3 linked regions of the Alligator mississippiensis genome follow. The protein of the gene in region 1 purifies or fractionates together with the protein of each later gene. This does not show direct contact. Links are inferred from orthologs where the notes say so. Each region holds a gene or a part of one and is shown in the gene's direction. Other genes may lie near its edges.

What was found.
Region 2: the proteins of CDK8 (region 1) and MED4 purify together in Homo sapiens (affinity purification with mass spectrometry; 9 studies listed by BioGRID and IntAct, counting the BioPlex papers as one, with this or other methods). This does not show direct contact. The link is inferred for Alligator mississippiensis from reciprocal best matches to the Homo sapiens genes CDK8 and MED4.
Region 3: the proteins of CDK8 (region 1) and MED18 purify together in Homo sapiens (affinity purification with mass spectrometry; 5 studies listed by BioGRID and IntAct, counting the BioPlex papers as one, with this or other methods). This does not show direct contact. The link is inferred for Alligator mississippiensis from reciprocal best matches to the Homo sapiens genes CDK8 and MED18.

Annotation. Positions count from the first base shown.
Region 1 is NC_081824.1:429,551,232-429,558,662, reverse strand, and holds the start of CDK8 (cyclin-dependent kinase 8), read left to right. Parts: upstream 1-4,362; 5' UTR 4,363-4,400; coding exon 4,401-4,528; intron 4,529-7,431.
Region 2 is NC_081824.1:413,318,942-413,326,925, reverse strand, and holds the start of MED4 (mediator of RNA polymerase II transcription subunit 4), read left to right. Parts: upstream 1-4,979; 5' UTR 4,980-5,044; coding exon 5,045-5,127; intron 5,128-7,984. UniProt on the Homo sapiens protein: Component of the Mediator complex, a coactivator involved in the regulated transcription of nearly all RNA polymerase II-dependent genes.
Region 3 is NC_081826.1:254,262,281-254,269,010, forward strand, and holds MED18 (mediator of RNA polymerase II transcription subunit 18), read left to right. Parts: upstream 1-4,536; 5' UTR 4,537-4,546; coding exon 4,547-4,688; intron 4,689-5,154; coding exon 5,155-5,708; 3' UTR 5,709-6,225; downstream 6,226-6,730. UniProt on the Homo sapiens protein: Component of the Mediator complex, a coactivator involved in the regulated transcription of nearly all RNA polymerase II-dependent genes.

The DNA of each region.
Region 1 (7,431 bases):
ACCAATTTCTGATCACTTAAAATGGTTTATGTGTAACTTCTGCCCCTAGCCCTGAAGTCAGGGCTTCATCTCTGCCCAACACCCACATGTCCCATTGCAACAACTAAATTTAGGATTTTGGCTGTGTTTTGTAATATTTCCATATTTTAAATGTGGATAATATAACCAAAGTACAACCTTAATTTAAAGAGGGAACTAATAGCCGTTTGTGACCTATTAAGAAAAAATATCAATCAGTTCAGGCTGCCCTGAATACCTAGGCTAAAATTCCCTTTTGTTCCCCTCAATCTTTTCCTGAGGAACACTTTTCACTGGTGAGCAGTTACTCTCCTGAGTGTCCCATTGATTTAAATGGGAGCCCTCATGTTGGTAGATTTTCATCAATGTAAAGAATTTACAAGCTAGCCCATATATATTAATCACAGAAAAAATCAGCAGAAAAGTCCAGTGAAGAAGACAGAGATTGGAAGACCTACTGGGCTCTGAGTGCATCAAGTTGGCAAAAAGTTTGATTAATGAAACCAAGCATGAGTAGTGTTTTTCCAAAGTAGAAAGGCAGTTTTACACTTCTTGAAGTGGCTGCCATGAGTTATTTTTTCTTCAGCTGTGAAAACTGCCAAGCACAGAGCAAGTAACTTGCTGTATAAACACCCATGTCCCAAACTTAAGCTGTGCTTTCAGAAAGCAGCTTGGTACAGTACTTTTGTTTCAGATATTAGTATACAAATAAACACAGCAAATCTTCAGCTTTGCTTCCAGATTCACATGTATTGTGCTGTTACAGATCAGGTAACACAGACCTTCTTTGTTTAGCGTCCTCTTCTAACAGTTAGCATGTGCTTATTCCTATAGCTCCCTTGGACATTGCAGGATTTATTTGTAAATACAACTCTGTATTCAGAGACATTTAGAGATATGAACTCTCCTCGATCTCCCTGCTTTCACAGCAGACACTGTTCACGTTAGTACCTGTCTCCATTTATATGAACTCAAACAGAGTTAAAAATAATGACTTCTATACGGATAGTATTTACAGGTGTTAGGTTCTCAAAGAAGATCACAGTATGGAGCTATAATACAGCACAGGGATGGAATAACACGCTGTTGGCAAGGAGGCTATGAAGAATGGCAAAGGATGGAGTAGGAGGAAAAGTGAAAGAAAGGTCTGAAGCCCTGAATTTGGCAAAACTTTTAGGCAGATATTTAATGCTTTGTTGACTTTGTTGAGTCTGAAGCAGCACAGGATGAAAAGAAACAAAAAACTTGGAAGTGCCAATACACAAGAAAAAGAGCATTTATTCTTTAATATAAAGCACCGCTTGTCTTTTAGGAGAAGTGGTGCTGTCTCCTTTTAAATAATGGAGCTAAAACTTTTTGCCATCGATAGAAGTCTTTTGCATGTTGACAGATTTCTGAAATAAATGAGTACAAAATATTCACTCTCTCAATTAAATTTATTAATTGAAATAAAAGTGTAGGCTGATTCTAAAACATCAATGGAAATGTTTTTAATGATTTAATTTCATAAAAAAGATTGACATTTTCTTTCTAAGCCAGCTTTTACAACTGTGCAAGCATACATTTGAATTGCTAATACTAGGTGTTACCCCTAATAAGGATCTGGACTAGAAACTAGAGTAAAGAGACCGAAGATTATAGTGACATTGGATCTGGATTGTAAATATTCCAAGTGTCATGAAAACCTAATGAAAGAGGCACATTTGGAAAAAGACAGTCTGCTAAACTTCCTTAAAAACTGACCAACATCTCTAAGAGAAAATAATACTTTTGTTTTTATTGTGGCTTTGTCTTCGACTTATAAGATGTTTAGCAAATTATGAAAGATTTTTCAGGTGGCTTAGTGTGAAGATGTAAAACATTATGCAGGCTCCCTGAAAGCTACTCTTGATTTTACATTCTTCTCCGTTTTTGTGTTCTTCTGCAGCAAACAATTATTTTCCTTTTTTCCCTTCACAGCTCCATTTTCAGAAATCTATCTTCATGCTTACAACAATTAAAACTGAAGGAGGTTTAGAAACTTTCAGAAGTTCTACATTTTTATGAGCCCTAGTGCTGTCAACTCTCTAGAATTCAGGTATGCTATCACCAGCATCATTTACTGAAAATGAAACTGGGAGAACCATGCCTGTGCATGACCAGTAGAAATGCCATGTGAGAGGCAGGGATGTTTCTAGTGCTGATTTGCCAGATTTTGGACTCCTTATTCCTGCTTGCTAGAACCCTACTCTACAGCCAGGCTGGCCTGGATGAAAATATTTATGAACCTGAGTAGGGAATCAGAAAGTCATCCCTTATTAGCCAAATGTACAGATTTTTCAACAAGCATACCTCTTACATTTCTCTGATTGAGATCATGATCATTGGATCATGGTGTCCAGGGATCCAAATATACCTCTGCATTCACAGGCAGGTGACTTGAACTCAGGAGAAACTTGGATTGTTAGAATTTAGCCTTGCAAAATCACATTGATTAAAATGATATTCTTAAGGACTATGCAGACAAGGACCACAATCACCTCAGTTGTTCTTGATAAACTTTGCTGGAAACACAGCAGTAGGCAGAACCACTTGGTAGGAAGTGACGCATGATGACCCCTGTGTCTACACCAGCAGTTCTAGAACTCATTAGATTTGAGACATCCCTCACAAAATGTGAGCTCTTAGTTTTTACTTGTTTTTTGACTACAGAAAAATAGTGAGAACAAGTCTTCTGTTGCACAGAACTCAGAAAGGCCACAACAGGGCAGAACGCTCTTGATGCTATGGACTCCTATTTGAAATCTTTGGGTTTATCTTGTGAATTGTGTTTACACATCTCACAGCGTTAACATTGTGTGGCACTCCACAGCACCCTTGAAAGGGTCTCAAGGGCTCCATGGTCCCCTGGTTGAGAATCGCTGACAAAAGGGTCACGTGAGGCATCCTGAGCAGAGTTCGAATTATATTTTGACTCTTGGAGGGGTGGGGGTCTGCAAAAAAACCCCAAACGGTTCATTGATTAGCAAGTTCACCTAAGTGAAGGAGCAATCCAGTCGCGCCCCCCTGGTTATGATTTTCAAATCTTACAGGGGGCTCATGTCTCTTACTGGGGAGGGGGGGGTGCTCAGCCCTGCCACCCCTCCAGCTCCGCCTTAATTCATACCCCGATTGTGTGGGCTAACTCCTACTGTTTAACTCTGTGCCACTTGTGCCCAGTGCTGCTGCCCCCCTCCCAGAGCACCAGGGGGCTGAGGTGCCTGTGAGGTGGAGGGAAGGGCTGGGTAGGCCAGGGCTGCTAGGAGGGGCAATGACCTTACAGCTCCCCACAGTCTCCCATGTGTTTATGGTGGGGCTTTCTGAGGTGAACCCAGTGCTCCCAGATTATGACATGCTGAAGCCTTAAACTATGTCCATTTTAAGAGGCCCCATATGATAAAAACAATCCATGAAATCCACAAAAGTGGACTGTCATGAAATCTTAAGATGAATTATTGTTTTTTCTGCACAAATTTATGAACTGACTATTAATAACTGTGTAGCCATATAGATGTATATTTTTGTCATATTAGAACGAAAATGTCCAGACTCCTTTCTTATTTAGAAGCCCCTCATATTGCAAGGCCCTAAACTGTACCTTAATCTTAAATCCCCGCACTGGAAGACGCTACTGCTTATCACCCCACAACCCCGAGACCTGGAGGTGCGAGGTCCCCGACGGGACGGGGCGGGGCGGGGCGGGACAGAAAGCCCCCTCCCCTCCTCGCTGACTACGAATCCCGCCATGCCGCGCTGAGCGCGGTCCCCGCCCACGGACCACAGCTCCCAGCATGCAGCGCGCCGCGGCCACCAGGTTCCGCGGCATCTCCTCCTCACCGTCTCGTACTCCCCACCATTCACCCTACGGACTACACCTCCCGGCAGGCCCCGCGCGGCCTCGACCATAGCCAAGCGCGGCGCTCATCTACCCCCCTGCACTACCACTCCCGGCATGCAAAGTGCACAGCTCACGTCAGTGCTGTGGCGCAGGGCACGCCGGGAGCTGTAGTGGGGGTCGCCGCAGCCGGCTGGATTCCACGTGGTGCGCCAGGAGCCGGGAGGCGGCGGGGGGGCGGAGCGCGCCCGTGCGACGCTTTTGCGGCAGTGCGGTCAGGCGCGGCCGCCGTATTCCGGTGGCGATACCGGCTGTGGTGCCGCTACCCGGCTGAGGCGCGGCGGGGGCGCGAGCGGGGAGGGAGCAGCGCCCGCCGGCTCCCCCTGCATGGTCCGCGTCGCTGCCGCGGGGCCTCCTCCTGCTGCTCCAGCTCCCCAGAGCCGGCGGGGTCCGGCGGGGGCGGCGCTGCGCGGCGCGGGCGGGGGGCGGGTGGCGGGGGCTGCCGGCGGGGCGGCGCCGGGCGCTGAAGATGGACTATGACTTCAAGGTGAAGCTGACCGGGGAGCGCGAGCGGGTGGAGGACCTGTTCGAGTACGAGGGCTGCAAGGTGGGGCGAGGCACCTACGGGCACGTCTACAAAGCCAAGCGGAAAGACGGGTGAGTTCCCTGCCCGCTCGCCCCTCGGCCTCTTCCTTGTGGCCCTGTCCCCCGAGCCACCGCCCGCCGGCCTCGGCCACATCCGTCCGGGCGCGCCTGTCGCTGTCCGGCCCGTGGTGGCCCCTGCTCTTGCCCTAGCTCGGCCTGGGCTCCCCTCATCCCCGGCCCCCACCCGCTTCTTCCTTTGGCTGCTCTGTAGCCCCTCACCTGTCGCCCTTCACCTCGGACCCTTCCCCTTCTCTTTGCCCTCATTCTCGTTCCCTGTCTTGGCACCGCTGGCTTTTTTTGTCCCCAGGCGTGTTTTCTGTGGTGGGGTTTGATAAAAAAGTCTGTCTGCGTGTGCATCGTACTCCGGTGTATCTCCATCTTTGTCTCTATCCTGTTTAACTTGGCGACTTTGCTGGTGAACAAATGAGTGTCCGGGTTTAGAAAAGCCTCAGCCTGGCCAGCCTTTGGTTTGTGTAGGGTGGGATAGGAGCCCCCCCTGCCCCCTCCCCCAGTAGTGGGTTTGTGTCTGATTTATTACTTCGAGTCACCATTTTGGGTGTTGTTGCGGATTGCTCTAGTGGCTGAACTCTCTCTCGGCCCTGTAGGGGGTTTGGCAACCGTTTGGAATGAGGATCTGTTTCTGTGGCCAGTTTGTAGCACAGGAGATGCAGGGTTTTGCACAGATCCTTGGAAAAAGAAGGGGGCCAAGCTGTTGTGTAAGGTTTTACTAACCCACAACAAAGCATCACTTTTTCCACAATGGAACTTGGGGAGCAGGAGAAATGGGAAGCACAGAGCACATTGTTCTGCCTACTCCAATGTTTTAGCAGTGTTTTAGTTTGCTTACTCCATTTATTTCTCCTTGATGAACCCCTTCCCCAGTAACCTTAAAATGTTACTAATCACCTTCCCATGAAGGTAATGCTGGGTCATTTCAGCATTTTCAAGTGGCAAATATTTGTAATTCAGTAAATGGAAGAGATTTGTAAAGAAGTCTGTCAATTATGAATGATATATTTAGCTAGGCTTTATGTACTTCTGATGTTACATAGATGTGCTTTCCATTATTACATATAAATGCAGTTTTGCACAAACTTCTCTATTTAAAGATATTTTAAACATACTCAGATTGATCTTTAGCATAACCATTCCAGTCTCTATTTGTTTGCTGGGATGGGCCAGCTAGTGTGTGCGTGTGTGTGCTTCCTTTATAAATTAAAAACCCAGCTCTGCAAACCTGAACAGCTCACAAGAACAGTTATTGCTTAGGTGACTAATTTTCAACTGTGTGAATAAAGATTTTTACAATTCAGTATTATTGTCTCAATCCTCCAAGCATGTATATGTATAACTTCATTGGCATAGGTTGTCCTATAGATTTCAGTAAAGGTAAGGAATACGTGATGAGCTTTCTGCTATGACAATGACTTGAAATGTTTTGAGTCCAGAAGCAAAGCAATATCTTGATAGGCATGGGGAAAATACAGGTGAAATACTGTATTTGAAGTAGTAAAGCAGTAAGCTAAAGCCATTCCATAATTTGGGATATATATTGTTTAGAAAACGTTTATTAATTTCACATGCATTTGAGGGGAACAAAAAAGTTTAACACATTAAAAGGTAACAGTAATTAACACACACTTTTCAGACTCCTTTTCTCTGTAGTTATTAAGTGTAGCAGACCTCTGCAGTGTATAAAAGAACTCAGAATTTGATAGTACTTATGATGCATGAATTCAAACATTTTTAGCAGAATCATCAGTCTGCATGATGATACTTAACAGAGCAGTGTCTGGAGTTTCATAGTTTCATAGTAGCTAGGGTCAGGAGGGACCTGAACAGATCATCTAGTCTGACCCCCTGCCACAGGCAGGAATGAATGCTGGGTTCACAAGACCCCAGACAAGTGATCATCCAACCTCCTCTTGAATTTGCCCAAGATAGGGGCAAGGACCACCTCCTTGGGAAGTTTGTTCCAGCTTTTGGCCACCCTAACTGTAAAATATTGCCTTCTGATCTCTAACCTAAACCTATTTTCCATCAGCTTATGACCATTGTTCCTTGTCACCCCAGGTGGTGCTGGGGAGAAAAGAGCTTTGCCTATTTGCTGTTGATCCCCCCTGATGAGCTTGTAGGCAGCCACCAGGTCCCCCCTCAGCCTCCTTGCTGAGGCTGAACGGGTTCAGATCCCTCAGTCTCTTCTCATAGGGCTTGTCCTGCTGCCCTCTCACCAAGTGGGTGGTCCTGCTCTGAACCCTCTCCAGGCTGGCCACATCCCTTTTGAAGTGCAGTGCCCAGTACTGGACGCAGTACTCCAACTGCGGCCTGACTAAAGTTGCTTAGAGGGGGAGGATCACCTCTCTGGACTGGCTTGAGATGCACCTTCGGATGCATGACAAGGTATGGCTGGCCTTGCTGGCTGCAGTCTGTCATTGGCGGCTCATGTTCATCTTGGAATCAATAATGACTCCAAGATCCCTTCCCGCCTCTGTGCTTTCAAGAAGGGAACTCCCCAGCCTGTATGTATGCTGTGGATTCCTTCTCCCAAGCTGCAGCACCCTGCATTTGTCTACGTTGAACCCCATCCTATTCTCATCTGCCCACTTTTGTAGTCTGTCTAAATCTAGTTACTGCTAGCTCTTACTTTGTCTAATACGTTTGTTCTAAAATGGGACTCAAAATAAATGCACATTTAAAAAGTTATCTATGCAAACATGGTTTTTAAAACAATTTTCGTACTGTTCATGAATATATACACAATCTAAAATTTCCAGCCTGCGGAGGAAAACAGCAAGCCATTTGGCAACATGCTGCTTATACATATTCTGGCTTGTTCTATTGTTGCCTCTTCTCTCGTTCTCCATCCTTCCTCTCACGAAAAGGCCTGTTTATTTGAAGCATGTGGTAACTGCATA
Region 2 (7,984 bases), about 16 Mb from region 1:
CCCCTAGCAAAAAGGCTGAAGGAGCAAGCTGTAGGGAAAGCCTGAGAGCCAGCCCCCATCACCATAACTTGTGTAGCTGAACTACACGTGATATTTGACCAAAATCAAGAGGCTCATGATTTACCATACAGTTCATTGGGCTGGGCTCCACCAGAGTCAACAGAATTTAACTCGTCTGGGAGTTGCTGGTCCAGCAGCTCATCTGGTGCTTGCCTCCTTGTGCGGTGACTTCTGCCGCTGCTCTTGCTGTTCGTTCGGGATTGCATGGGGGGCAGGGGGGCATGAGCCACCAGATCTGCGCAGGGAGGGCTGGGGCCAGGGCTGTGCCAAGCTCTTCCTGGAGGGGCAGGGCTGCACTGGGAAAGGGGCTATAGGGTCGGGCTGCAGCCACAAATTCACTGTAGCCTCTTCCCAGCGCAGCCCCGCCCTGCCGGAAAGAGCTTGGCGCAACCCTGGCCCCAGCCTGCCCTGGCCTGCCCTGTGCAGAACCTGGGGCACATGCCCCCCTCCTCGCAGATGAGCAGCAGGAGCAGCAGCGGGAGCTGCTGAACAAGTAGGTGAGTGCTGGATGAGCCAGAACCCCCCCACCTCCCGGACTAACCGTGACTTTGTCCTGCACCTGCCCTGCCCCAGCTGGGCAGTGCTTGCCCCAGCCCCACGCCTCCCTCACCACGGGGACTTGATCTGCCCCCCCATGCCCCTCCCCCTGCTTCCACCACACCAGACTTACCATCTAGAGGCAGCTCTCCACGCTACCAGGCTAGGTATCGTAAATCGGATCAGTATCAGCCCATACAATTCCTTAAAAATCGGCTATCAGTATCAGTCCTAAAATTCTCTATCAGTGCAACCCTGCCTCCAAGGACTCTTCCTAATCCTGGACTCTTCCCCACCCCCACAACCCTATCTCCAAGGACTCTTCCTAATCCTTGACTCTTCACCCCCCCCACCCCACAATTGTATCCTGCATGTTATTTGTAACTGTATCTTTTCTAAACCATTTCCCTATTACAATGCAGTATTGTTGTGCAAGATCTCCTGTATATTCTCTGATTTATAAGCATCATGCACCCTCCATTCCTTTTCCCCTTCCCACACCCAGGCTTAGTTGGTTGCATGTTTCAAATGTAATTTAGTTGCATTAGTTGCATTTCCACCCCTATGTAGCCCCCAACTCAGGTAGTTCTATATTTCCTTGTGCTTTGAACATTGTTATTAGAACTTAAACATTTTCTAATAAATTACATTTTTTTGGCATCAAGGGGAGGGTGTAGGTCTGGCTCTGGTCCTCCTGGTCCTGGTCTGGCATTGCAGTACTTCCAGGCTCAGTGCCAGTACCTGTGGAGGGAACACCTGACCATGTTTTTAACAGCCACACACACAGAGCTCCCATTAGCATGTTTGCCCAATGTGGGCCACGTGCTTTATAGTCATGCTCAGTTTTAACTGCATTTAATCAACTTCATAGTTGTTTTTTATTGCACAGGTGCATGATGCAGTTATTGTAATGGGAATGAGAATGGTTTAACTGTAAAGGTGTTGTTTGGGCTGTTGAGTGAACCATATTGGTCACAAGACAGATTTGTAGAGATGGGGGGGTATATATATAATCATAGAATCATAGAACCAGAAGGGACCTGTAAGATCACCAAGCCCGGTCCCCTGCCACGTGCAGGAAGTTACTGGGCTCACACAGGCTCGTGTGTGTGTGTGTGTACACATATATATATATAAATCAGAATGCTTGCCCAGTGTGGGTCATGTGTTTTATAGTCATGCTTAGCATTGGCTGAATTCAATCAGCTTCATAGCTGGTTTCCATTACTGAGTATATGCTGCTTTGAGCAGAAGTTTAATGATAGACAATGTATTTAAGGAGGTTTCCTTCTATGTGAATATAAGCCAAGGGACATTTTTCCCCATGCTGATTGTGGGGGATGGGAGAAGGAACCTCATCTTATATTTAAGTAAATATGGTAATCCAAGTTCTTTCAGCCTTTCCTTATAAGTCATGCTTCTGCAGTCCTGTAATCAGTAGCATAACTAGGGTGGGGCAACTGGCACCACCTTGGGTTGGGGAACTGCTGCTGACAGCCATGTAATCGTGCTAGCAACAATGCAGCAGCTGGAAGTCACGGCAATCCCCAGGTGTTGCAGCTGCCCCAGGTGCTCAGCTGCATTGTTATGCCTCTGCCTGTAATCAATTTTGTCACTCTCTGCTGGACTCTTTCTTATTTGTCCGCACCTTTCTTGAAGTGCAGAGCCCAAAGCTAGACCAAGTACTCCAGGTAAGGCCTCACCTGTGCTGATTTAAGTGGCAGAATCGCTTCCCTTGAATACATAAAGACATCTACTTAAGGTTATACAAGAAACCTTAATATTAATATTCTCAAAGTTAGTGTGTTTGACTTGACCACCATAATAATGTTCTTAATGTATATTTTGTAAAAAGTAGTTCAAGTTTTTTTCTTTCTTTCTTTTTTTAAAAAAAGAACCCTTTCCTCCTCCCAACTCTTCATCCCATCATGGGAAACCATATGGACCCACAATATGGTGGGGGAGGTATGAGGCGGAGGCATCAACAGAGTTGAGGAACCTATATAGATCCATAGCATGGACCCACTTGAACTTGAATAATAGCAGTAATAGGATATCTTTTCCTCTATGTGGACTTGTCACAAGAATAAGGACAAGAAGTGCATTTTGTTAGCCATTTTCACACCTGTTTACTAGCAGAGGAGGAGTTAAATGGGATTCCTGCATTCAATTCCTGTTTTTATAGGTGATTGTATCTAGTGGTTACAGACCCTTCTGCCCCTGCACTTCTGGCCTGTTTTTGTCCATCTCTGCTCCTATCCTGTATTACCCTGACTTCTACCTGTAGCTATGCCTATTAATAAATCCCCTTGTCTTCACTTAGGCTCCACAAAGGCAAAGCCAGTTTTCTATATGAGAATACAAGGCAATTGCCTGCACTGTGGGAGATCCCCCAAGCTAAATTACCAATGCAAGTCATCCAATATGAGTAAAGCCAGCTCTGCACAGAGGCTCAGGGGTTTGTTTAGAGTTAGACCATCTAAAAAAATGAAGGTCTCAAAATAAAAACAAATTGTCTGCAGGGGCTATGATTTGTATCTACTAATTACCTTCCAATCTGATCTCTGTAAGGCAGACTTCTGCACTTGCGTGAAGTCCTGCTGACTTCAGCTAGGTTCAGGAAAACGGCAAGAGTCCACCATGCAACAATTTGCAGGACAGGGTCTATAACAGGGTTGGGCAAAATGTGGCCCGGGGGCCGGATGTGGCCCATCAGGCCATTCTATTCGGCCTGCGGGGCCCCTAAAAAATTTGGAAAATTAGTATTTATCTGCCCTGGGCTGCCTGTCATGCGGCTCTCAATGGCTTGCCAAAACTAATTGCCCGCCCTGATCTATAACTATATATCTGTTTCCTCTTTGTTATTGCCCAACTCAATTGCTTACACACTATCAACTCAAAAGGAAATCACTGCAAACTTTTAATTAAAGCAAATATTAAGTTAAAAGCAGATTCAGGCACTGCTCAGTCTAATATAGTTTTAAAATCACAGTTTAAACACTGCTTACTCCCAATGTTTAAAAGCCTTTAATTAGCCCTCCAAAACTAGGAGGTTGGGTTCTAAATCATGAAATTAAAGAATGTGCCTTCTGGTTTTCTTGTAGTACATCTGAATTGCCTTTTCAAGCTTTTCTCTGCAAATATGCTGGCTAGAATCATGCTGCTTTGAAAAATGAAATCTGAAATTTGCATGTCATAACTTGACTCCAGGAGCTGGATTTTTTAAAAAGATATTCTGAGACTTTCAATAAAATTCCAAGCATTTCTAATGTTGACTTTTTATTGTTTTTCTTCCCCTAGCCTAGTGTGAAAAGTACTTGGGAAAACAGGGGGGCTGCTGGCTATCCCAGGGAGCCAGCCTCACTGACCACACCATAGAAGGCATTATGCTGGTTCCTTTATTCCTGCTTTACAATCCTTGCCTCTGGTCCCCTTGCACATTTTTTTTCTTTTCTTAACCTGTTTAAGTATCTTTGGGTTCCTGTAATTTTTCCCATTAATGGAGGTATCTCAGGATTTTTCATTTTTGTTTCTTAAGCTTCCTAACAGTTTAGAGGGTTGCTTTAAAAAAAACAAAAAAAGTTCAGAGTTGCCACATGATGTTGCTGCCTCCCGAATCTGTGGTGCAAGTCCTCACTCCTAGCAGGAGCAGCCCAGGACTCATGTGTGGCACCTCCCACCAGGCTTGCAGAGCCAGCGCTGCATTCTGCTTCAGACAGCTCTGAAGAAAGCAAAATGCATTTGCTAAGGGGCAGAAAATAAAGAATGTGTATTTTGTGGGTTTAACCATCGTTTTCATTGTGAAAAGAGCTCCAAGGTTTCCTTCCTACTTTGATAATTTGAACAGTGTTTCTGGAGGGTTTTGAGGCCGCCCAAAAGTATGGCCGAGAAAACCAGTGAGAGCTCTGCTCTATCTTCCCCCCATCCCCTTGCTCTCCTGCTCCCTTCCACATGCAGTCATGTATCATCAGCAGGGAGCCTGGTTTTCTTTGATTAAAAAACAAAATCCCCAATTTTCAGATGAAAAAAGGTAACCCCAAATCCTCATTTTTCCATGATTAAAATGTAACACCATTAATATAGCTATCTATATCTATCTATACAGGGATAGTCGTGGATTTTGGGTTACTATTTTTAATCTGAAAATTGGAGATGTTTTTGTTTTGTTTTTACTCAAGAGAAAACCAAAGTCCCTAATCATCACGGTTTTCTCTTGAGAAAAAACAAAACACACGCACCCACGTTACCAGACCCGCCCCCAAATGGAGCTGCCTAGGCAAGGGCCGCTATGCCCTAGTGCGCATGCGCAGCTGGGGCAGCCTACCCACGCCCTGCTCCTCACGCCCTCCCGCCAACAGGGGCCGCTGTGGCCGTCCGCTGCGCCCAGGCCCACCCGGGCTGCGCCGCAGCCTGGCTGCGCCTCTCGCTGCTGCCGGCGGCGGGCGTGATGGCGGCAGCGGCGGGCGGGGAGCGGAGCAGCACCCGGGATCGGCTGCTGGCGGCGCTGGAGGACCTGGAGCTGCTGGCCAGGTACTGGTCGGGTGCTGCCAGCGGGCCGAGCGGGTCCGCCCCGCCCCCCTCCCCGGCAATCCGAAGCGCTTGCGCCGTGCGCTGACCCGCTGCTCGGGGCGCTGCGGGCGGATTGTCCCAGGCGGGGGAGAGCGAAGGGGGCTCCGCGCATGCGCTCTCCAGACCAAGGGGGGGGGGGGCTGTGTGCGCGCATGCGTCAAGCTGAGCGCGGGACCGGGGGCCCAGGGGTCGCGTGGCTCGGGCTGCGGCTCGAGGCCCGGTGTGGGGGGACACGCATTAGGGGCTGTGAGTTACACGGCCCGCGGGGGGGCGTCGGGTGGGATCGGGAATTGAAGTGGCGATTGGAAATGCATATGTATGTTTATACGTGTGTGTATACATATAAATGCATGTGCACGTGTATATAATGTACATGTGTACATCGTGTATAAATACATGCATATAAATACGTGTGTGTACGTCATGTGTAGCGTGCACACGCATGTGTATATATAAAAAGGAATTGGGCGCGCAGCTGTGCCCACTGCCTGGCTTCAGATGGACATGGCTTCAGCTGCCGCTCTGCTGGGGAATCAGACAGGTTTTGCTGCAGCAGTGACAAAGTCTGCGGGCTTGGAAATATGCTGAACAAGTTGGGTTAAAGATCTGGTGGCCATTCAGCTCTGTTAGAGTGCGGTGCTAATAACCCCAAAGTGCGAGGTTCAAGTCTCAGGCCGGGGGTTGGACTAGATCAGCGTTTCTCAACCCATGGGTAGTGACCCAAAAGTGGGTTACAAGAATATACCAAAAGGTCTTGAATAAACTTTAAAAGTAGATCAACACACTTTTAAAAAATGGATTCTCCTTTAAAGGAGAAAACCAGATGAAACCAGGGCTTTTCCCTTGCAGGCTGGCAATGCTCCAGCCTGTAGAGGGCTGCTGAGTGCCCTGCTGCCCTACACACCCACCTCCTGCCTCATATGGTAGGGGCAGAGGGCAGCAGATCAGGAGTGAGGGGCACTGGGTCAGGACTGGCCATCGATATTTACAAATGGGTCCTGGTACTAGATGACATCTCAAGGTCCCTTCTGGTCCTACTTCTATATGATTCTATCTCCCAGGCTGAGCTCTGTGCTGCTATGGTCAGGATGCTGCTGAAACAGGAAGGAGTTAGGTTACAGTTAGCTCGAATAGATCCATACCAGGGGTGTCAAAGTGGTGGCCTATGGGGCCCTGTCATCTGGCCATCAGTGCTGCCTGTGGGTCACAGACCAGTGCATGCTGTATGCAGCACACTGGTCCCAGCCCATCTGCCACAGACTGCATTTGGCACAGGGGCTGGAGCTGGTGTATACGCTGTGTGCAACATGGAGGGCCAGTGTGGGGTATGTGTTGCTTTCAGTGCCTGTTTCAAACCAGCTATGCACTGGACCTGGGGTTTGTGCACTTCAGGCCCAGGCCCACAGACTGGCTGTGCGTGCCAGACCTAGTGTGCAGGGCCGGTATGGCATGGGTACCAAATACAGTATGCACCCTGGATTGGCCTTGTGCGCTGTGTGCCACATGGGGCAGGGTTTAGCACATGCTGCACATGGCCTATGGAGACAGTCTGGGGCACGTGCTGAGTGCTATGCCTGTGTCAGACCTGCCCTACATGTTGGGTCCAGGTCCAGTTTGGATTGGGCCCACAGATTGACTCTCTGTGTCAGATCCAGCACACAAGGATGGTCTGGCATGGGCTTCACATGCAGTGCACACCCCAGGCTCTCTCTGTGTGTGCCATGTGTAGTGCATCTCCTAGACCAGCCCCACATGCCACATCTACTAAAACCCCAATCCTGTAATCTGCTTTTTGGGAAGTAGAGCCCATATCCATATGAAGTCCTTCGTTTGTGACTAAAGGTCTGTTTGTATGGATTAAACTGAGAATCCACAGTGTTCCTGTAATATTGCTGAAAAAAATAACATAACTTTTTGTTGTCATAGTATTGAAAAAATAAAGTATACTTAACATTACCTTTATGAAAAGATATACCAGATACCAAAAAATGGTTCTATAATGATTCTTCCAAACTTCATAAAGCATATATGAGCATTCGTATAAAATGTGACACAGATGTAATCTACTTGTTAAGAAATATTCAAGTTATGATTCATTTTATTTGGTTTATAGCTCAGACGTAAATTGATTCATGAAAACAGTGCAGTCAGCTAAGGATTGATCCAATGAATTTGCAGCTTGTGTGTAAGGTAGCTGCTTCTCCAAGTAACACAGTAAGATAATTACACTTTTCTGACAGTGGGAGCTTGAGGTATTTTAAGTGTCCATTACTTTATAGATAACTGATTTGACATTATTCCTTTTAACTGTCAGCATCCTACAATCTGTCTGGTATAGATTACACTTAATACATTTTTGGGTATTAGTTTAAATGGATTGTTTATGACACTGATCAGTTGCTTCACTTTCACTTGTATATATCCTCATGATATAAAAATAGCCATTATGACTGAGTCCAGAATAACCTGGACATTTGGTTTCCTGGGGACAAGTAGCAGGTGTGCTTCTGCTACTTGTATGTGCTGCTGTTACTTGTGCCTGGGGAACACCTGTGCCACACATGCTCTGGCGCACGGCAGGTTACCCTGGGTGGGATACAGGAGGCTGGGGCCAGCAACTGTGCTGGCCCCAGCAGCCTTACCAGGGGGCCGGGAAAGCTGCAGCCACGGTGCTTCTGTAGCTGGGAGCCTGGTCAGCCACCAGAGTATGGCTCTAGCAGGCCAGGTTCTGGTTTTGGGTGGTGCGCACTGCTACCACATGCACCACCCCAGTTTTTTTTCTGCACAGGTTTTTTTTTGACCCTGGCATTCCTGGGGT
Region 3 (6,730 bases), on another chromosome or scaffold:
GAAGTACGGCGCCCAAAACTAGACACAGTACTCCAACTGCGGTCTGACCAATGCCGCATAGGGGGGAAGTATCACCTCTTTGGTTCTATTTGTCATGCATCTGCTGATGCATGATAAAGTGCACTTAGCTTTGCTAATGATTTCGTCACACTGATGACTCATGTTCATCTTGGAGTCCACTATGACTCTGAGATCTCTTTCCGCTTCTGTGCTGCTGAGAGGGTCACTTCCCAGCCAGTAGATGTGCTGGATATTTTTGCACCCTAGGTGCAAGCACTCTGCATTTGTCCTTGTTGTACTGCATCCTATTGTGTACTGTCCACTTTTCTAACCTATCCAGGTCCGTCTGCAATCGTTCCCTACCCTCCGGATTGTGCACTTCACACCACAATTTATTATCGTCCGCAAACTTGGACAGAGTACACGTCACACCCACATCCAAGTCACTGATGAAGACATTGAAGAGTACAGGTCCAAGGACCGAACCCTGCAGGACCCCACTACCCACATCCTTCCAGTTCGATACTGACCTGTCTATTACCACTCTCCTGTGTGCGACTGCTAAGCCAATTTGCCACCTGTTGGACTGTGTAAACATCTATGTCACAGCCTTTTAATTTATTTGTGAGAATAGGATGAGATACCGTATCGAAGGCCTTCCTAAAATCCAAGAAAATGACATCCACTCTACTCCTGCGTCTAAGCGTTTTGTGACCCTGTCATAAAATGAAACCAGATTGGTTAGGCATGATCTACCTGCTATGAATACATGCTGGTTGCCCTGTTGCATTATTTTTCCCACTGGACTCCCACAAATATGATCCTTCATAATCTTTTCAAAGAACTTTCCAAGGATGGAGGTGAGACTGGCTGGTCTACTATTACTTGCCAGAATTACTGGCCTATAATTACTCCAGCAGACTCAATTAATCAAGTCTGCTCCAATGTGCTGTAATTACAGTGCATCGGAGTAGCATTTCCAAATGTCTACAGGCATCCTAGAATATTAATGTTGTAGCAGGCTTGCGTTTTGGAGCTTGGGTTGAGTCCCAGGCTTGAAATCTTGCTGTTTTGATTGGTTGAACTCATCCCCCAATCAGGAGGCAGTCAGAGGAGTTCAGTCACGCCCTTTTCCTGAGGGGAGGGAGAGAGGAGTCGTTCCCCCCCAATGCACCCCTGTTGTGGACCTGATTGAAGACTGCAACACTCAAGTCTGGAAGACTTCAGGGGTGGAGTCCTGGAGCATACAAAAGGAGCTGCATGCCCAGCATGAGGGGAGCACCTCCAGGAGAGAGAGAAGGGCGGGGCTTAGAAGAGCTGAGGAGAGCTGCTCAGGAGGGCAAAGCAGCAGCCCAGAAGTGCCCCTGAAGACTTCCATTAGCAGGAACGGCTCCAGCAGCTAGGCTTTCGGGGTGCAGCACAGCAACATGGCGTCCAGATCCTGGGAGCTGCGTGAGGCGGCTCAGGTCTGCAACCTCTGGTGCGTGGCCAGAGACACGGTACACAGGCCGGTGCATGGAGTAGGACCTTTGGAGCGCTTGGGCGGCTCAGGTCCTCAACCCTCGAAATGAGGCTGGGAGCTTGGTGCAGGAGGCGCTGCATGGAGGGTCTGGGAGCGGACTGAGCCTGGTGCTGCACGAAGCAGCCCAGGCCTCCGACCCATAGCAAAAGGTTGAGTCCAAAGAGCCAGACGGTGATTGGGCTACTGAGCCAGCCGACAGGGCCAAGCCAGAGGCCCCAGAAGCCCTGCGTAGCGGAGCCCTGTTCCAGGGGACAGCGACCCCCACTGAAGCCCACTGCAGGCGAGAGAGCAGCCTAGCGCAGAGGACGAGGACCACCCTGCAGGCCTGGGAGCCGTGAGTTGCAAGGAAAAGAGGATTACCACAGGGGAGGGGAGTCTTCCCCTGGTTAGTTAAGGCCTCCTAAAAGGGGAGGTCCCACTGAGATGGCCCCCCTAAAGTTACCAGCTTCTTTGTAGGGCTTGGGAAAAGCCCAAGGGCATTGGGGTATCCCCTCGGGATTATCTTTGAGGTTTATTTGTTTCAGATCAGATACTTACCAATGACTTACCTGTATCTGGAGCACTGGTATAAGGTTTTATGTCATTTACCCAGAGGGTATTGTTTATGTCACTGGTTTAGATATCTTATATATATATATATATATATATATATACATTGTACATATGTTTATATCCATGTTCCTTTCCCTTGTGATAAGTTAATGTAAATACATTTGTATACAGTTATGTCCCCTGACTGTCCTGGCCTGGTTCTATAGGGACGGAGGGAAACTGAGCGGTCTGCAGTTCCCACCCCACAGCACACCTGCCAGCTAACAATCCCCTTCAATTGGAGAAGGGGAGTATACAGCCCAGTTATCTGGGCTACAATGTAAAAGACAGATACCAGCATCATGCCGCCTCATCCAACTGTTTTAAAGTGCTCATTTTGTGAGGGATCCTAGCCTGCTTGGTGCTTGTTTTACAAGCTCTGAGAACGCAGAGCAAATCATGCTAGGCAGAGCCAATGACTAGTTTCTGGACCATGAGAAGGTTTAGGTGAAGAACAGCACTGAACTGAGATGAGCAGTTCTAGGCGTGCACAAGAGTGTAGAGGAAATGTGACTATCAAGCAGGTGTTTAGTTGCTTTCAGAGTTAGGTGGCAACTGAGCAGTGGTATTTTAGATCCAAATTTTTAATTTAGATGCCTCAGTTTTGCCAAAATCCTTTGCTGGATCTAGACCATAGATCAAAGTACATTTTCCAACCTTGGCTTAAGAAAGAAGGAATTAATATGGCCAGAGGTTTCAATTACTTTCACAGGCCAAGACAATCGATTTGTATCCCACATTTGACTACAGTAAACAGGATAGACATGCCATAATAGACAGCAGAGTATGAGCTATGGGCAACTGGTGCCTCCTGAGTCAGCGGCCAGTCAGTAACCATGGTGGGTCCCCCAGCAGCCTATTGCACTGACTGGGAAACATGAGCGGTGCTCCTGGAAATGCCAGCAGCGCCTCTCCTGGCACCCCCACTACCCAGCTGGTGCTTGCAGGGGGCACACCAGCGCTCCCGCCTGCCCCCCTGCCCATTGCCTAAGCGGGGAGTGCTGCCTGTCAGGGGGTGCACCAGCGCTCTCAGGGGGTGCATGTACATGTCACCACTGGTATGAGCTGTCTTCCTTATACACATTAGTATAAGCTAAGTGAAACCATTACATTTAATAACAAAGCAAAGCATTAGTCATCCATGAAAATAACTTTATGGAGACAAACATTCATTGTCTATCATCAATTTTAGATTGTCCATCCACCAAGAAATTGAAAAAATCTGCAATTGGAGTCTAAAACAAAATTTCTAGATAACAAAAGACATGGGAATTGGTACAACTGTGGGCCACTCTTCCTGAAGATATCCATTTAAGCTAAGTTTTGTTACAGGCTTCTGTTAGAAACAGGAGAAGACAGAGGCCTACAGAAGCTACAACAGACAGAAAGGTAAGCAGAAATAATAGCATAAATATAGTATGTTGTAATCAATTTCTGTTCAATGTAACCAGTTGTGTTAGGACACTCAAAATGAGGCATGGCACAGGTGTGGTACTGTGCTGCGAAACCTGAGCTGGTTGTAAGCTCATTAGGTTTGTTCAAATAAAAACGAAGAAAAAAAGGACTGAAACGAAACGGCATCAGTGGGAAGGGCAGCTGAGATAACTAGAGAAGGGCCCCAATTGCAAATCCGTCTGACTGAAAAGGTGAAGTGAAGAGGCAAGGATTTCCCAGGGCAGCCTCTTTTATTGGACCACCTGCTTGGTTGAGAGGAAGCTGGACAGGCGTTGGGGGGCGCGGTGCTCTTCCTCAGCATGAAAACATTTGTAAATCAGGAGTTGAACTACAGAGGCGTTGCTCAGGAGAAGTGTAGGGAAGTTTGGTGTCCCAAGAGAAACTCTCTCGGGAGACATTTAACTCTGGTTGCTCCCGGGTTATTTCTCTCTCTCAGACACTTTTTCTGGTGAAATCGACGATTTTGCAGGGCACGGAGGTGGGGGCGGGCAGCGCGAGGCGGGCGCTGCAGCTTTGCCGGCTGCCAGGGCCCTTGGCGGGGTTCACAAAACAGCGGCGTGCCCAGGGCACGAGCTTAAGCGGATGAGGTAGGAAGAAATGTCAGGACCCTGCGCTGGCGGGGCAGACAGGGCGGGGGTTACTGGCTGAAGGGCGCGAACCGCGCGTACCCGGATTGGGCAGCAGCGGCCGTGGGGGCAGGGCCGAGGGCCCGCGGCGGTTGGCCTCCGGATGCTGAATAACGGCGAGGTGACATGGCCCCGCCCCCAGGAGCGCGCGAGTCACCAGGCGCCCGCCTCCCAGCTGGCAGCTTCCCTAGGGCTCGCGGGCGGCGCAGGACAGGCCCCGCCCCCGGCCGGAGAACCCCACCCCCGGACTCCGCCCCCGCCGCCTCCCATTGGCGCGGAGACGGCGGCGCATGCGCACCAGGTTTGGACGCGCTTGGAACCCTCCCACCCCCATCCTCGGCCGAGTGTGCGCATGCGCCCTGCCCGAGCTGTCGAGCGACTACCTCTGCCCCCCCACAGCCGAGCTAGGTGGCCGGGCAGCATGGAGGCGCCGCCGGTCACCATGATGCCCGTCACGGGCGGCACCATCAACATGATGGAGTACCTGCTCCAAGGTGAGCCCAGCCCCGGCCCGCGCTGCCTGGGGCGGCCCGAGCCCCCGCCTTCCAGCTGGGAAGAAACCGGCTGCGGGTTGGCACAGTGCTCAGGCAGTGCACGAGGTGGGCAGGGCCTGGGCTCAGAGAGACGGGCAGGCTACATGTATTGCGTAGTTGAGCCATTAATTGCGCGATGTATGTAACCGGCGGGGGACGGGACAGGCGGCCTTGGACGGCCAGACTAACAAAAGCTGGCAGGGCCAGCGCTGACACTGTGCACCTTTATTTCTTCAAGTAATTAAGTTCCCTGCTGCTTTCAGGAAAAAAGAGCCTGGTGTTTTAAACCTCAAGGCAACAGACTGCTCCCTTGTGAAGCCGGGGTGGAGGAGGGGTTTCTGGGCAATCTTGTGCCAATAGAGGAGAGGAAAGGGCATGGGTGTTCGTGAACTGGTGAGCAGTGACGTTTCCGGTCTGTCTTCTCCAGGGAGCGTTCTGGATCAAAGCCTAGAGAGTCTCCTCCATCGGCTGCGGGGCCTGTGCGACAACATGGAACCGGAGACGTTCCTCGATCACGAGATGGTGTTTCTCCTCAAGGGGCAGCAAGCCAGCCCCTTTGTGCTGAGGGCACGGCGCTCGATGGACAAAACAGGCATGCCCTGGCACTTGCGCTACCTGGGCCAGCCAGAAATAGGAGACAAAAACCGCCATGCTCTGGTCCGTAACTGCGTAGATATTGCCACCTCGGAGAACCTGACCGACTTCCTGGTGGAGATGGGCTTCCGTATGGACCATGAATTCGTTGCCAAGGGCCACGTATTCCGCAAGGGCATCATGAAGATTGTGGTATACAAGATCTTTCGCATCCTGATGCCAGGAAACACTGAAAGTATAGAGCCCTTGTCTCTCTCATACCTTGTAGAGCTGAGTGTAGTGGCACCAGCAGGTCAGGACATGGTTTCTGATGATATGAGGAACTTTGCTGAGCAGCTGAAACCATTAGTGCACTTGGAGAAAATTGACCCTAAAAGGTTAATGTGAATAAAAAGCAGTCATGGGTGTTGCAGACCACTTTGGTTCAGGGTCATAATGACCTGCCTCCTTAAACTGTTCTTACAAAATACCTCTTGCAAGATTAAAGCTAGGGGCCAGGAATTATTTGGTATTTAGTTTTGTCACTCTGATAATTGACAGTTTGGGGTAATTTGTTGTTATAGGGTAGCTGTGAATAAAAGATGTTTGAAAACAGCTTAAAAGCAATTCTTTCAAATGAAATTCTAAGCAGTATGAGGAAAGGCATTTAACATAAGTTTGTATTAGCATTCCTGCCCCTCCAGAGTGCGTATGTGTACACGCACACACACTAATACTAGAACAGGGAGCATACAATGCCAAGTTTGAAGACATTTAACTTATGTAATACTGCTTCCCCAGTAGCGTATGTTTGCATGCCTTTTCAACAGTTGTACTTTTGTTGCTCTTGAATGCTGTAATATTCAGGTTCCAGGTTTTAAAACAATGTTCTCAAGCTATTAAAAAAAAAAAGATTCCATCCTGACATCTGGGGTTTTGGAAAAGCTCTTTGGGGGTGGAGAGAGAGAAAAAGAAAAAACAAAACAAAAATCAGGATTTTTAGCCGCAAGTGTACTTCATAATACTTTAAAATCTGCAGTTAGGAATACAGTCAAACACCTCACAGTCTGATTGCTTCATGAAAGTCAAGCATCGCAATGCCCAACTGTTGCACGTGTTGGAGTGAATACAATGGATGGGGGTTGGGTATTTATAGTATTAGAGCAATTTATAAAACTAAGATGAGATGATTTATTATAAGAGTACTGCAAGAGTGGTTTATTTTGATTGCAATTGGTTTCCCATTTTCTCTTTCAGTATTTATAAATCAAACCCTATCCTACAGCTCCATGGGATTTGTATTTAGTATAAAATATTTAATTTTAGCAATGAAAACTCTCAAATGCACACACTCCACCACAAGGGCTATTTTTTCATTAAAAACCTAGGCATTAAATCTAATGTGCCTAAGGCTTCTGACCTGTTACTTT